Saccharomyces cerevisiae S288C: one gene and its partners. Changing the gene in region 4 together with the main gene of any one other region gives a genetic interaction. Each region holds a gene or a part of one and is shown on either strand. Other genes may lie near its edges. The genes, in order: AMD1, HAM1, TGL4 and APT2.

Region 1 (4,827 bases), on a different chromosome or scaffold from region 4:
TTCGACGTCTTTCTCTGTGGGTAATTGGGGAGTCTCGATCCTTGTAGGCACTAAAACTTCATCTTCATCCGATACCAAGTTACTACTATCTGTATCTATCATTTCGACCACATTATTGCTGGTATTACCCATAGGCTGATGAGGACCTGGCGTGGTGATCTCTGGAAGCAAGGGTGCTTCCGACTCTGAGCCAGAGCCTTCGGACGAAAACAAAGACGGTGTTCTTTCACTCTGAGAAGGTTCTTGCTGTTCCACTTCTGGAACCAGTATTGTAGATGGTACCTCCTTTTGAGGCAATTTATCCGCAAATGAGGCAGAAACTTTTAACTTACTCAAGGGTGTGCTATGGCCTGTTCCATTGGCAGTTCCGAGCTCTTTTGGATTGTGTCGTATGTTCGGTACAAATGGATCATTTTCCGTACCGCTTGAAGTCAACGAATCGTTAAAATTATCCATGCTTACTGGCTTTCTATTTGTGTTCTTTATTGGTGTTTTGACGGAAAGTTTTCCTAAAATGGCAGAGCCATTTCCATGCTCTTGGTTCAAATCACTCGTCTTACGCTTTTTTGCCTTCTGGTAATCCTGTTCAATTTCTGAATCTGATGATAGGAGGTTCAAATGCTTATTATCGATTTTATTTTCCTTTGAATTAGATTCAGACCAGTCGTCAGAATCAGGGTCTTTCCTTTTCTTACGAGTATCGGAATTTTGCTGGAAATCATTGGTGTCTGATTTGTTGGAGCTTGATGTTATCACATCATCCTCTTCATCGTCCACTTCATCGGTATCCGTTCCACTAGGTACAATTAAAGGATCGTCTTTTTTATCATTGTCATCATCATCATCATCATCATCATCATCATCATTACTTACATCATCCAGTATTCTATTCTTCTTAAACTGTTTGGCCATGGGGGAAGCAGATTTCTCCCTGCGAGCTCGTCTACTTCTACGAGGGGAAGCTATAGATGGGGAAGATGAGGGACGGTCCATTTTCACAATACCTTCATCGCTGGGCCGAACGTTCAGATACATTTTCCGTAACTGCGGGATCTGCGGTTTAACCTTTTCATCGAACAGCCCCACCAGCGCATTTTTCCTAGCATTAGATGGGAAATCGACATTATTTTCTACCAATATCCTCCTCAAAGTCGCAACTTTCATTGAATTCGGATCAAAACCGTCCTCTAAATACTCCAAGTCACTATTCATCGCGGCACTAACTGAGTACTGCTACCGTTCTACTGTTTGTTGTTCTGGCCTCTACGTTCACTCCGTATGGTCTCAGTCTACTATTAATAATGACTGAGGACTATTTCTCTTCCATGTATTCCGCATAGTATATTGACAGCTATACAAGTAGATCGATGTCCAGATTAGCCACCACAAATTGAAACCAAAACAAAAACAAAGGGGGCTTCCTAAAACAGTAATTTTGAGGGCTCTTTAAAACCCTTGATTTCCGTTCAGGGTGATCAATATATATATCCTAGTTATTTTATAGATGCCCTAACTTTATTTTTAGGGCACGTGGGGGTCTTCTCTTTTCTTTTTTCATTCCTTTTTCATCTTTTTTTTGCGCCTGGCGATGATGAGAAAGGAGTTCTAGTAGCACAAGGTTTAAAGGATATTATCAAAAAATAGATAAATTTTAAAAAAAAAAAAAAGGCATCTCTTGACGACTTTTCTTCTCTCTCTCTACAGGCAGAATTAGCAGCGTTTCTCGTATACTAGTCAATTATCGGATATTAATAGTATTTTTATTATAGTCTCCCTGCTATAGCCAATTTTGATTCAGCAAAACTCGATTGAACTGCTAGTACGCCAGATTAATAAATTATATAACAAATAAAAAGGGGGCATTCTAAAAAAAATTATGGACAATCAGGCTACACAGAGGCTTAACGACCTTTCTCTAGAACCAGCTCCTTCACACGATGAACAAGATGGTTCAGGACTAGTCATTGACATAGATCAAAGAAAGATTGGTGATGAACAAGCTGGTGTCGTAGTGGATGATGAGACACCCCCCTTAGAGCAGCAAGATTCACACGAAAGTTTAGCTGCTGATTCTCGGAATGCTAATTTCTCGTATCACGAGAATCAGCAGTTGTTGGAAAATGGCACCAAACAGTTGGCCCTAGATGAGCATGATTCTCACTCTGCCATCTTGGAGCAACCATCGCATTCTACCAATTGTAGCTCTTCCAACATAGCAGCGATGAATAAGGGCCATGACTCGGCAGACCATGCATCTCAAAATTCCGGGGGTAAACCGAGGACCTTGTCTGCTAGTGCTCAGCATATCTTGCCAGAGACGCTCAAGTCATTTGCCGGCGCTCCGGTAGTGAATAAGCAGGTACGTACCTCTGCCTCCTATAAAATGGGAATGTTGGCTGATGATGCTTCACAGCAGTTTCTTGATGATCCCTCTTCCGAGTTGATTGACTTGTATTCCAAAGTGGCAGAGTGTAGAAATTTGAGAGCCAAATATCAGACCATATCTGTGCAAAACGATGATCAAAACCCAAAAAATAAGCCAGGCTGGGTAGTCTATCCACCACCACCTAAACCTTCATACAACTCAGACACTAAGACTGTTGTGCCAGTAACAAACAAGCCGGATGCGGAAGTTTTCGATTTTACGAAATGTGAAATTCCTGGTGAGGATCCAGATTGGGAATTTACCCTCAACGATGACGACTCGTACGTGGTACACAGATCAGGTAAGACGGATGAGTTAATTGCTCAAATCCCTACCCTTCGTGACTACTATCTGGATCTAGAAAAAATGATTTCCATCTCATCAGACGGTCCCGCTAAATCATTTGCTTATAGAAGGCTGCAATACCTAGAAGCACGCTGGAATCTTTACTATCTCTTGAACGAATATCAAGAAACTAGCGTTTCCAAAAGAAACCCACACAGGGATTTTTATAATGTTAGGAAAGTGGACACTCACGTTCACCATTCTGCTTGTATGAACCAAAAGCACTTATTACGTTTCATTAAACACAAATTGAGACATTCCAAAGATGAAAAGGTTATTTTCAGGGACGGGAAACTACTAACTTTAGACGAAGTATTCCGTTCTTTGCATTTGACTGGATATGATTTATCCATCGATACTTTAGATATGCATGCACATAAGGATACATTCCACAGATTCGATAAATTCAACTTAAAATATAACCCTATCGGTGAATCTCGTCTCAGAGAAATTTTTTTGAAGACAAACAACTACATCAAGGGTACCTACTTGGCTGACATTACCAAACAAGTCATATTCGATTTAGAGAATTCAAAATACCAAAACTGTGAGTATAGAATTTCTGTTTATGGCAGGTCTCTCGATGAATGGGATAAACTAGCTAGCTGGGTGATTGACAACAAAGTTATTTCCCATAATGTTCGTTGGTTAGTCCAAATTCCGAGGTTATATGATATTTACAAGAAAACTGGCATTGTTCAAAGCTTCCAGGACATCTGTAAGAATCTGTTTCAGCCACTATTTGAAGTGACCAAAAATCCTCAGTCTCATCCAAAATTGCATGTATTTTTACAGAGAGTAATTGGGTTTGATTCTGTCGATGATGAATCCAAGGTTGATCGCCGCTTTCATAGGAAATATCCCAAGCCATCACTCTGGGAGGCTCCTCAAAACCCTCCTTATTCCTATTACCTGTACTATTTGTATTCAAATGTCGCGTCTTTGAATCAATGGAGGGCTAAGAGAGGGTTTAACACTTTGGTTTTGAGACCACATTGTGGTGAAGCCGGTGACCCCGAGCATCTCGTTTCAGCATATCTATTGGCACATGGTATATCACATGGTATTTTATTGAGGAAAGTTCCATTTGTTCAATACTTATACTATTTAGATCAGGTTGGTATCGCAATGTCACCCCTTTCTAATAACGCATTATTTTTGACCTATGATAAAAACCCATTTCCGAGATACTTTAAAAGAGGTTTGAATGTCTCACTATCCACAGATGATCCTTTACAATTCTCATATACCAGAGAACCATTAATCGAAGAATACTCAGTTGCAGCACAAATTTATAAATTGTCTAATGTAGATATGTGTGAATTGGCAAGAAATTCCGTGTTGCAAAGTGGGTGGGAAGCACAAATCAAAAAACATTGGATAGGGAAAGATTTTGACAAGAGTGGTGTTGAAGGTAACGATGTGGTTAGAACAAATGTTCCTGATATTAGAATTAACTACAGATACGATACATTATCAACTGAACTGGAATTAGTTAATCATTTTGCCAATTTCAAGAGAACCATTGAAGAAAAGTGATGGTTATACGCGCACATGTATATAAGGAGAACTTTTGGCAGTTCGATACACTGACTTCACGGAGAACAAATAATACTAATCTGAAAAATAATCAAAGAATTTTTTTTATAATTTTATCGTTAGATATCTCTTATCTACACACCCCTCAATTGAATAGCGTCTACCAAAGCTCTTGAGAGACCATTTACGTCTTGGGGCTTGAAATCATCACTTAATTTATAGATCTAATAGGTAAAAACAAAATAAAAGGAAAACAAAGGTGAAGTTAGTACAATGTGTTTCTGGTGAGGCTGTTGAAGTTTTTACCTCGAATTTATTATTAAAACATACTTTTCTTATGAGCGCTTCGTCATAAAATCTCGATAAATTGTCATCATTAAACTCGATCTCTTGTCCTTTTACTATAGAAGTCATAATCGTCCTCAATTGCTCTTTGTCTACATCGTCAGTATTAGTATGGAACTTAAGGCATATTAACTGTGACGAATCGTCTTTGATTCCGAATTTGAGGAAAGCAT
Region 2 (2,943 bases), on a different chromosome or scaffold from region 4:
GGACATTTCGGCAGGTGACTTGAGAAGAGGCATTACATTATTACAATCCGCTTCCAAGGGGGCGCAATACTTGGGTGATGGTAAAAACATAACTTCTACCCAAGTGGAAGAATTAGCTGGTGTGGTACCTCATGACATTCTAATAGAAATTGTTGAAAAAGTCAAAAGTGGTGATTTTGATGAGATTAAGAAATACGTCAATACGTTTATGAAAAGCGGTTGGTCTGCTGCGTCAGTAGTTAACCAACTACATGAATATTACATCACCAACGATAACTTTGATACGAACTTCAAAAATCAAATATCTTGGTTGCTGTTTACTACGGATTCCAGATTAAACAACGGAACGAACGAGCACATCCAATTATTAAACTTATTGGTTAAAATATCCCAACTCTAATATACAGGCATCTTTATATAATTGAATATAGAGGCGACATAAAGTAAGAATAAAAAAAAAAAAATCTATCCATAATTCCTCTTATCTTCTCAGCACATCACCTAAAAGTCATTTTGATACAAGTACTCTTTAAACTGAGCGAAGGCTTTACCACGATGAGAAATAGCATTCTTTGCGTCTTTGCTCATCTCTGCGTAAGTCAGTCCATGACTATCAAAAGGTTCAAAAATTGAATCCCAGCCGAATGTAGTGGGTCCCCGGCTTGGAACGATCTTGCCTCTTGTAATACCTTGAAAGAAGTGATATTCACCCCGAGAATCAGCAAAACAAATGGTGGTAACTGCTTCAGCGTTTTTATTTTCAAAGGGTTCCAACATTTTCACAATTTTTTCCAATCCCATGCTCTTTAAAAACCATTTTATATAAGCACCTGGTAGACCGTTAAATTCGTCAAATCTCAACGCAGTGTCTTCCACAAACACTGGCTTACCCTTACCCAAGGCCGCAACAGCTTGCTTTCCCTTAGCTAACGCAATGGCATTCAGATCCGTGTCCTGCAATTCTTCCAGGTCTAAGGCCTCATTGATTAAGTGGATGGTTTTGTTGTTGTTGTCGACCTCTTGAGTCAAAATCGACTGCACTTCCTTTAACTTGTTGGCATTGCCAGTGACAAATACAATTTCGTTGTTGCTCATTCTGCTATCGTTCGTTTTTAGATATCTCTATGTGAGTGTTTCCTATGCTTTGAAGACCAGTGTTGAAAGCTGAAGCTCGAGAGAACGGTTTCGAAAATAAATAATTTTTTTGCTATTTGATACATTTGTATATATAACGGAAATGGCGGGTTTTGAAAAGTATAAAATACAAGATTATACAATGATTATTGTTACTATCATTATTGATGATGCTGATTCTTCTAATTAGCAGTTGGAGCATATTCTAGTTCGTTGCTGTTTTCGTAATCATACATATCTAGCGCAACGATACAAGATTCTCTGACGACATCGACTTCATCGTTGAGGTAAGATTTCAAGACGTCGACAACTTCTGGAGAAGCAATGGCACCCAAGGCTTCAGCAGCTTCATGCCTAACCATTGGAGCTTCTTCCTTTCTGCCCAAAACTTCAATCAAACTTGGGACAGCAGCCGGACTACCTATTTGACCGAAGACGTAGGCGATTTCATGCTTGAAAAGGGAGGATTCTGCACTGAAACCAGTGGCCAAGGCCAGGATTGCTTCATCAGTACCGATATCTCTCAGTCTGAACATGGCTCTGTATCTTTGGAACAAAGGTTGCTTAGGATCATTCAATAAGGCCTGTAGTTCTGGGATGGTAGCATCCTTTTCTAATGGTAGAGGTGGGGCTGGGTCAATACTCGAGTATAGGGATTGTTGCAAGTTTTCCTTATCCTTGGCACCTCCATGGGTCCAGTTGATTCTGTTAATGGCCAGTTCACAGGTTTCTCTCACAGCAACGTGTGGATCCTCCTTAGCAGCCTTATTTAGGTCATCCAACGAATCCTTGTCACCTAGGGCACCCAAAGCCTCAGCGGCTTCGTGTCTCACCATTGGTTCTTGATTTTGATCTAACATAACGTGTCTTAAAGTTGGAGCAGCGTCCAAGTTCTTGGTTTGACCCAACACGTAGGCCACTTCGTGCTTCAACAACTCAGACTTGTCATTGACGAAGGATTCGGCAATGTATTCGATGGCCTTTTTGGCTTCCTCTGGCTTAGTGGCAAATTCTTCAGCAACAGTCTTTAAGTTGAACAGAGCTCTAAATCTGTTGGCCAAAACTGTTTTGCCGGACTTGTTGACTAAGATGTCCCTTAGTTGCTCTAGAGTGCATTCATCGACGTTTTCTTGGAAATGTTTTTCAAAGTTAGTAGACATGTTTTTTTTTTTCTTTCTTGCGTGGTATGTTAGAAGGACTACAGTTTATCCTAACCTAAACCTAGAGCTACCGTCAAATATACACGTGTATTCACTGGATTTGCCTTATGTAATTTATATGATAAAAACTTTTCAGCTCATCGAGAAAAATTTTCTTTCCTCCCACGCAGGATAGAGAAAAAAAAAAAATTTTTTTTTTTTCTTGTTTCTCACTGCATTCTACAGGGATTTCTGTGGAAGGATTACCTCTATTGTTCAAAAGATAATAAACGTGGGAGTTTATCTGACGTTCGTCTTTGCAATTCCATTGTCTTTTTTTTTCTCTGCGGGTCGAATGATCGCCGAACCAAAGGACTATACGTAGTTATTTAGTTTCTAATATACTTCGCGATATTTTCTGCAGTCTCGCTACTGGCCGTTTTCCCTACTTGTTGCATAGCTTCCTGATATCTCCTTTGTAGGTCTGGAGCAGAGTTCTCGTTGACCTCACCTTTTGTTCTTTCTTCGCCTGGGAACGTGTATTCTCTCTCAACGCCTTCGTCCTCATCCCTATCCACAAGACCATCATTGGCATCCTCTTCGAGGTCGCTAATGGCATCTATGCTGTCGTTGTCGCTGGCTGCAGCGCTGCTCTTCTCGTTTAACCCTA
Region 3 (5,082 bases), on a different chromosome or scaffold from region 4:
CCCAGATAAATATGCGCTTGACTTTTTGAATCTAGAAGCCTTTCTGTCCACTGCGTTGAGGCAATTGCCGTTCATATCGAGCTTTGCATTTCTAGATAGGGAAACATCGTCTAATTGAGCAATCAATTGTTCGACTTGGAGGTTCGTAGCAGTGTATGGTGTTTCCACGTTTTCTGAAGAAGTTATTGAAAGACGTTTCTCATTTAACCCATCAAGACTTAAATCTTCAACTTTTGTTGACGATGATGACACACCAGGTGATTTCTGTTCCTTTGAAGATTCCAGGCCAGAAAAGTTATCATCAGGATATATTTTAGAGTCTAGTGCGTTCATGGTTAAAGATGGTGTATTACTTTCCCTCGTAACATTAATTTCCGGAATTTTAGGTTCTGTATTCTTTTCCTCTTGTTTTGCTTCTGGAAAATCATCTTGAAGTGGTTCATTTTCAAGATTCATCTGTAGTTTAGGATCTGGTTCAAAATTTAGGCTTTCAATATCATTCTCATCCTCCTGCTGTCCTTCACTTTCATATTCGATTGAACTTTCCTCTTTTTGCTGTTCTTTTCCGAGTTTTTGGTCGAGCACACCTCTGTTATCGGTTTGGTTCATAGAATTTACAACGCTTGCAGTGTCATTTTGAGTCAGCATCATGAAACTTCTTTCAATAGGGCTCAAATCTTGTTCCCTTTCAGTATTACCAGCATCTTCTTGTTCGAAGTTGAAGGGGAAGTTATCTGCGGCTTGGAATTCCTTGTTAGCAGGTGATTTACATGTATGCCTAGAGGCAGCATATTGTTCCGCCTGACGGTCTAAGTCGCGTTCAAAACGGAAGGGATCCTCTTGCGAAGCACGCTCGCTGGGCCTGGAAATAGAACGAGATATGTCACTGGGTCTCGAAGACGTAAAATTGCTATTCTTTGGAGGAGTTACACTCCGCCTCTCGCTATTCTCCAATACGGGAGGCGGATAAATGTCAGACTCGCCCTTTACAGATGAATAAGCACTCTTTGAAGACGCCGTATACGCACTCTTCATCGTGACCGGAACAGATGGGGCGGCAGATACATTTCTTTGACGGGTTATTGGCGGCGACTTCACGGAAGCTTGTAAACTTCCAGTGGAAGCATTCCTCTGACTACTGAACGGATTACGCGGCTTAGTGTCAAACCCTGCTCTTTCTAGAGCAGTTTTGTAGCGGACCTTCGGATTTATTTTAGGGAAGGGGGACCCGTAGATTGAGTTATACATTGACTTGAGCGTTTCTTTTGCTAAATTTATTCTTGTTTTTCCCCTTACGTTATTCACTATAAGCTTTGAAGAAGCTTGAAAAAAATTCGGCTATAATATCCTATTCTAGCTGTATAAATTAAATATTCAACACAGCAGAAATATATTTTAAGGCTACCTCTTAAATTTGCAACACTCCAGCTTTTCTATTATTATTATTTACTTATTTTTTCATGTTTCCTATTATTCATGGAATTGAAAAAGGACGCGAATTGAAAATTTCGAAAGAAATAGGGCTAGGCGCTTCAAAAAGTCATTAGGTTTACTTACCAATATTAGTAGGTTAAATATTAGAAAAAAGGAAAAAAGATCTTAAGGGGTTTAAAAAAAGTAGGGTAAACTAGGGCTGACATATTACCCCTCTTATACGATAATTGCGACTATGAAACGCTAAACCACAATTATAAAGTATGGTTGATTCAAATTGTCATTATGTCATTATTGTACTCGTAAAAGAGGCCTGTATTCAAGTATTTGATCAAAAAAATTAGCGCTGTAATAATTATTGAAGGGAGTACAGGTATATGTAATAAAAGTCTGAATGAGCAGCAAAATATCAGATCTTACATCTACACAAAATAAGCCCCTCCTTGTTACGCAACAACTAATCGAAAAATATTACGAACAGATCCTGGGCACTTCCCAGAACATAATTCCTATTTTAAATCCGAAGAACAAGTTTATTAGGCCCAGTAAGGATAATTCAGATGTTGAAAGGGTGGAGGAGGATGCTGGTAAAAGACTGCAAACTGGCAAGAACAAAACTACGAACAAAGTAAATTTCAACCTGGATACTGGAAACGAGGATAAACTTGACGATGACCAAGAGACAGTAACAGAAAATGAAAATAATGATATCGAGATGGTTGAGACAGACGAAGGCGAAGATGAAAGGCAAGGGTCATCTTTAGCCAGTAAATGCAAATCATTTCTTTACAACGTTTTTGTGGGAAACTATGAAAGAGACATTCTTATTGACAAAGTCTGTTCACAAAAGCAACATGCGATGTCATTTGAAGAATGGTGTTCTGCGGGCGCCAGATTGGATGACCTCACTGGGAAAACAGAATGGAAGCAGAAATTGGAAAGTCCCTTGTATGATTACAAGCTAATAAAAGATTTAACATCTAGAATGCGTGAGGAGCGCTTGAATAGGAATTACGCTCAATTGTTGTACATCATTAGGACGAATTGGGTACGAAACCTGGGAAATATGGGGAATGTAAACCTATATAGGCACTCCCATGTAGGCACCAAATATTTAATTGACGAGTATATGATGGAGTCTAGGTTAGCGCTAGAATCTTTAATGGAGTCTGATCTTGATGATAGTTACCTTTTGGGTATACTGCAACAAACGAGAAGAAATATTGGTCGTACCGCTTTAGTTCTCAGTGGGGGTGGAACTTTTGGTCTTTTCCACATCGGTGTCCTTGGTACTCTATTTGAATTGGATTTATTACCCAGAGTGATTAGTGGTAGCAGTGCTGGTGCAATTGTAGCAAGCATATTATCTGTCCATCACAAAGAAGAAATTCCGGTTTTACTAAATCATATTTTGGATAAAGAATTCAACATTTTCAAAGACGATAAACAGAAAAGTGAAAGCGAGAATTTGTTAATAAAAATATCTAGGTTCTTCAAAAACGGTACGTGGTTTGATAACAAGCATCTGGTAAATACAATGATAGAATTTTTGGGAGATTTGACATTTAGGGAAGCTTACAATAGAACGGGTAAAATTTTGAATATAACCGTTTCGCCGGCATCTTTATTTGAACAACCGCGCTTGCTGAATAATTTGACTGCACCAAACGTCCTGATTTGGTCCGCCGTATGTGCATCATGTTCACTACCGGGAATTTTCCCCTCGAGCCCACTTTACGAAAAAGATCCAAAAACGGGAGAAAGGAAACCATGGACTGGTAGTAGTTCGGTCAAATTTGTCGATGGTTCTGTGGACAATGACTTGCCCATTTCTCGTCTTTCTGAAATGTTTAATGTAGACCATATTATCGCATGCCAGGTGAATATTCACGTATTTCCCTTTTTGAAACTATCACTATCCTGTGTTGGCGGGGAAATTGAGGACGAATTTAGTGCAAGATTAAAGCAAAACTTATCAAGTATATACAATTTTATGGCCAATGAAGCTATTCATATTCTAGAAATTGGAAGTGAGATGGGAATTGCCAAAAACGCGCTTACAAAACTGAGATCGGTATTATCTCAACAATATTCTGGTGACATCACTATTTTGCCCGACATGTGTATGCTTTTTAGAATAAAGGAGCTGTTGTCAAACCCAACAAAAGAATTTTTATTAAGGGAAATCACCAATGGTGCAAAAGCTACGTGGCCCAAGGTTTCCATTATTCAAAATCACTGTGGCCAGGAATTTGCTCTGGATAAGGCGATTTCTTATATCAAAGGTAGGATGATTGTCACCTCCTCTTTAAAAACCCCCTTCCAATTTGCTGATTCAGTCATTGGATTAATTAAAGCTCCAGAGCAAACGTCAGATGAGTCCAAAAACCCAGAAAATTCAACATTGCTAACTAGGACTCCAACCAAGGGTGACAATCATATTTCCAATGTTTTAGATGACAACTTATTAGAATCAGAATCGACAAACTCTTTGCTATTGTTACGTGAGAATGCAAGCACATATGGGCGGTCACCTTCCGGGTTTAGACCGCGGTATTCCATTACGTCCGCTTCTCTCAATCCGCGTCACCAAAGAAGGAAATCAGATACTATTTCAACTTCAAGGCGACCAGCCAAATCCTTTTCATTTTCAGTTGCTTCTCCCACATCAAGGATGTTGAGGCAATCCAGCAAAATCAATGGACACCCACCGCCAATTCTGCAGAAAAAAACAAGTATGGGCCGGCTAATGTTTCCTATGGATGCCAAGACCTATGACCCGGAAAGCCATGAACTTATCCCACATTCTGCCAGCATTGAAACACCTGCCATGGTAGACAAGAAATTGCATTTTGGCCGAAAGAGTAGATACTTGAGGCATATGAACAAAAAATGGGTCAGCAGTAGCAACATATTATACACAGATTCGGATAAAGAAGACCATCCTACATTGAGACTGATAAGTAACTTCGATTCAGACGCAATGATTCATAGTGATTTAGCGGGCAATTTCAGGCGTCATAGCATTGATGGAAGACCCCCTTCTCAAGCTACAAAGAGCTCACCGTTTCGATCGAGGCCTTCTTCTTCAACGCAGCACAAAAGCACCACCAGTTTTACTCAATAAGAAAACACGGGCTTGCTTATATATCCTCTAGATATTCTTTTTCATCTATGTATTTATTCGAATGGCCTTTCTCATTCATATCATTTTCAAAGCGGAAATCGAAATCATTGTTTTCTCTCGAGCTGCACTAAGAAAAAAAGCCACTTTACTAAAACAATACCTTCAACATATTTGAAAATATTATTATGGTGGAAGAAAGATATTGGTTACACAAATGAGTCAGTCTTACGAAGCAGGAAATGCCAATATGGGCCAAGGGGAGGATGATGAATTTGATGGCTATTTCGAAGACTTTGACAACGATATCATGCCAAATAGTAATAATGGACAAAGGGTTGGTACTAATGCTGGATTGTCATTCAATGACGAAGTAAATGTTAATGATGATGATTTTTTAGACATTTATAATATGTCCCCTAGAGAGAGATTGATGCATAATATCAGGAAGAATGTTCAAAAATTACAGTTTTATTTTTATTCACTACGCTTATGGCAACAGATTATCATTGTCCTCCTCGGCA
Region 4 (2,991 bases):
TACAAACGGCAAAAGTTGGATGTAAGATCATAAGTTTGAAAAGTTTAAGAAGCCTCACTTATCAGATCAACTTCTACAATGTTGAGAACATCTTCAATAGATTAAAGGTGCAAAGGTATGATCTTAAGGAGGATAGTGTTTCATGGACGCATAGTGGCGGAGAGTATTATATATCAACAGTGATGGAGGATGTGGACGAAAGTTTATTCAGCCCTGCTGCAAGAGGTAGGAGGAACAGAGGTACGCCGGTGAAGTATACCAGATGAGGCACTTTGAACGGCTTTTAACGATGAGTATGAATAACTAAGTAGAAATAACATGTACACAAGTGTAACTTATAAAAATCAAAAAATAAAAAAATAGAAAGGGAGAGAATAAGAGTAGGTAATAATATGAATTAAAAGAAGGATAAGGCGCCGTGGACCAGGTACCTAAAAAGTAAAGTACCAGTTTATATTAACAAAAGAAGTTCAAGCTAAAAAGTAGCAATATGCGAAGGAAAGGAAAATAATTGAAGGAGGAGGCAGAGAACAAATTTAAATCAGGAGTGCAATATGGAAAAAATAGGAGCAGATAATTTCTCCTCACCATGTAGACTATCTAACACTAGCACAAAGTCATATTCCAGAATATGAGCACCCACTTGTCTGATAAGGTCGCCCGCAGCATATGCCGTTCCACCGGTGGCGAGAACATCATCCACGACAACCACGTTGGAATCAAAGGGAATGGCTTCAACCTGCATTTCAAAAATTTCTTCATGGTCTAATTTTGTGAATGTTATAGAAGCACACTCACCCGGCAATTTTCCAACTCTCCTTATTGGAACAAATCCAACTCCCAATGCCAGTGCTAGGGATGGCCCAAATAGAAGGCCTCTAGCTTCTATACCTGCAATAAAGTCGATCTTTTCTTTGCCGAACTTTTCTTCTAAATGCGTCTTGAACGTGTGTACCAACTTTTGGAATAGCGTGGGGTTGCCAATAATAGGTAAAAAATCCTCAAATTGCTCACCCTCTATGGGAAAGTCAGTGAACTGCCTAAATGCAGTTTTTATTTCCTTTGCGTAAGATTCAGAAATAGACATAATGAGAGGCGGACAGGCAATGAACAGGCATATACACACGCACTCTCTTTTTTTAAGGAGCGAAAATTATCTGAACGATTGGTATGAACGGGTGCAAAATTTACTTTAACACCCAAAAAGTATATGCGTATATATATATATTTATCCTTGTTATTTTTGTAAATTGAGCTATGCAACATAAGATTCCTGCGATGTAAGAACTACTTGCTAATCAAGAGAACTTCAACAATTTTCCATCGCAGAGACGAAAAAACTGGAAAAAAATAAAAAGAAAAAATTGAAAAAGAATCGCGACTTCCGATTACATAACCTTATACGGAGTATGATACCATTCTTGACATCATCAACACACCATCGCAGACCCACGTGGCCGCTTCGTGTGCCTTGAAAATACAGCCTTAAACGCAATCTCATTCGCGTTCTGTGGAAATTGTCTCGGACTACACGCTGGGCGTGCATCACCAGTGAAAATGCCGTACCGCCCCGCTTCCGGTTTTGTTTTTATAAATCCGACTGGAGAAATAGACTTCTGGGTTTACACCCCGGAATAATACTAAAACCAAAACTGGTAAATAGGGCTACAGATGAGCAGGAAAACGTTGCCGGAAAAAGTTTATTTATCCGAGAGAATAATTGATGAAGAAGTAGCGGTATGCACAGTAGCGGCGGAAGTATTAGCAATTTTTACTCTGGTGTGCACAAGAGTGTTCATCATTTTTTTCACGGCTAGGATATGCCATGGAATATGGCCATCTTCGCCATCAGAGAGACCGTACCACACGTTTAGAGCAGCCAGGTTGCGAAACTCTTCTAAGATGGTTTCCAGCAATTGTGTACTATCAGAATGTGGACAGTTTAAAAGGTTGACTGCGAATTTGTCCCAAACCGTATCACCGTCGCATTTTTTGAATTTGATCAAAGCACCACTCCTAATAGCACAGCGATGCTGTGAGTGTGCCAGTGGGAACGGGTGCTGAAATACTATTCCATGGATGTCCTGGTCTATATCCCTTATTTCATAGTCGTATAATCTGGTCATATCCATGCGTCCTCCAAACCTAGTGTCTTTGTAGATCGGCTTGAAACTAGGGTACAATTTGTCCTCATCTATGAAGGAGATTTTAGAGTTGTCATCCACACACACCACAGCAAGATGTATATTCCTACCAGAAAGTCTCCTCCAATTCATCAATTCATCATCCGGCAGTATGCCATTCAATCTAGTTAAAATTAGACATATTTTTCCGAATTTTTTAGACGCTAAATTTAGGGCGATATTCCATATTTGATTACATGCGTCGTCAAATTTTCCTCTGGAATTCCCGACGTACCACGTTTTCGTCATGCTGCCTTGTCCATAGCTATCTGAAAGAGCTGCAAAAACCCACTCTTTATCTACACTACGCGAGTATGCCAGGTGGATGTACGAGTCATAATATATTATAGAAGATGATCCTGTACTGTTATTCTGCTGCTGCTGTTGCTGTTGCTGTTGCTGTTGCATTTGCTGTTGCTGCATGGTTCTGAAATTCACTTTCTCCGGCAGCGTATGCGCAATGTGGGTGAACTTTACAGATTTTGGCGGCAGCATGTTATATATAGAAATTGCTACGTTGACGTACTGATCCACTGTCACCAGTACGTTTCTAATGAAATCCATAGGAATAACTTTCAAATATAGTTCAATGTTAGGCATCTTGGCACAAACTTCGTTCTTGATCACCTGAAAAATATTCGCCTTGTCTACTAATTCAGTCAGAGTTGCATTATCCAAGGGTAAAATTATTAATATTGGTGGCACGTTTTTGATGGAGTTCTTATTATTAGAACAGTATGAAACAATCTGCGCAGCTAACAACAGTAACTTGTTTTTATCAAATGCCTTCAAGTACATCAGTCCGGGC

The links.
Region 1: of APT2 (region 4) and AMD1, extra expression of one rescues a mutant of the other (dosage rescue), as found in Saccharomyces cerevisiae (one study listed by BioGRID).
Region 2: of APT2 (region 4) and HAM1, changing one suppresses a phenotype caused by changing the other (phenotypic suppression), as found in Saccharomyces cerevisiae (one study listed by BioGRID).
Region 3: mutations in APT2 (region 4) and TGL4 together harm fitness more than expected from each alone (negative genetic interaction), as found in Saccharomyces cerevisiae (2 studies listed by BioGRID).

What each region holds. Positions count from the first base shown.
Region 1 is NC_001145.3:205,910-210,736, reverse strand, and holds AMD1 (AMP deaminase), read left to right. Parts: upstream 1-1,876; coding exon 1,877-4,309; downstream 4,310-4,827. Other genes in the region: SRC1 (Src1p), read right to left, coding at 1-1,212; CGI121 (Cgi121p), read right to left, coding at 4,444-4,533, 4,640-4,827. UniProt on the Saccharomyces cerevisiae protein: AMP deaminase plays a critical role in energy metabolism.
Region 2 is NC_001142.9:568,305-571,247, forward strand, and holds HAM1 (nucleoside triphosphate pyrophosphohydrolase HAM1), read right to left. Parts: upstream 1,096-2,943; coding exon 502-1,095; downstream 1-501. Other genes in the region: RFC2 (replication factor C subunit 2), read left to right, coding at 1-400; LIA1 (deoxyhypusine monooxygenase), read right to left, coding at 1,317-2,294; GTPase NPA3, read right to left, coding at 2,663-2,943. UniProt on the Saccharomyces cerevisiae protein: Pyrophosphatase that hydrolyzes the non-canonical purine nucleotides inosine triphosphate (ITP), deoxyinosine triphosphate (dITP) as well as 2'-deoxy-N-6-hydroxylaminopurine triphosphate (dHAPTP) and 5-bromodeoxyuridine 5'-triphosphate (BrdUTP) to their respective monophosphate derivatives.
Region 3 is NC_001143.9:605,112-610,193, reverse strand, and holds TGL4 (triacylglycerol lipase), read left to right. Parts: upstream 1-1,828; coding exon 1,829-4,561; downstream 4,562-5,082. Other genes in the region: PXL1 (Pxl1p), read right to left, coding at 1-1,248; TVP38 (Tvp38p), read left to right, coding at 4,776-5,082. UniProt on the Saccharomyces cerevisiae protein: Lipid particle-localized triacylglycerol (TAG) lipase. The lipid droplet/particle is a lipid storage compartment which serves as a depot of energy and building blocks for membrane lipid biosynthesis.
Region 4 is NC_001136.10:1,343,976-1,346,966, forward strand, and holds APT2 (adenine phosphoribosyltransferase APT2), read right to left. Parts: upstream 1,088-2,991; coding exon 542-1,087; downstream 1-541. Other genes in the region: histone methyltransferase DOT1, read left to right, coding at 1-266; SSN2 (Ssn2p), read right to left, coding at 1,701-2,991. UniProt on the Saccharomyces cerevisiae protein: Catalyzes a salvage reaction resulting in the formation of AMP, that is energically less costly than de novo synthesis. May lack catalytic activity.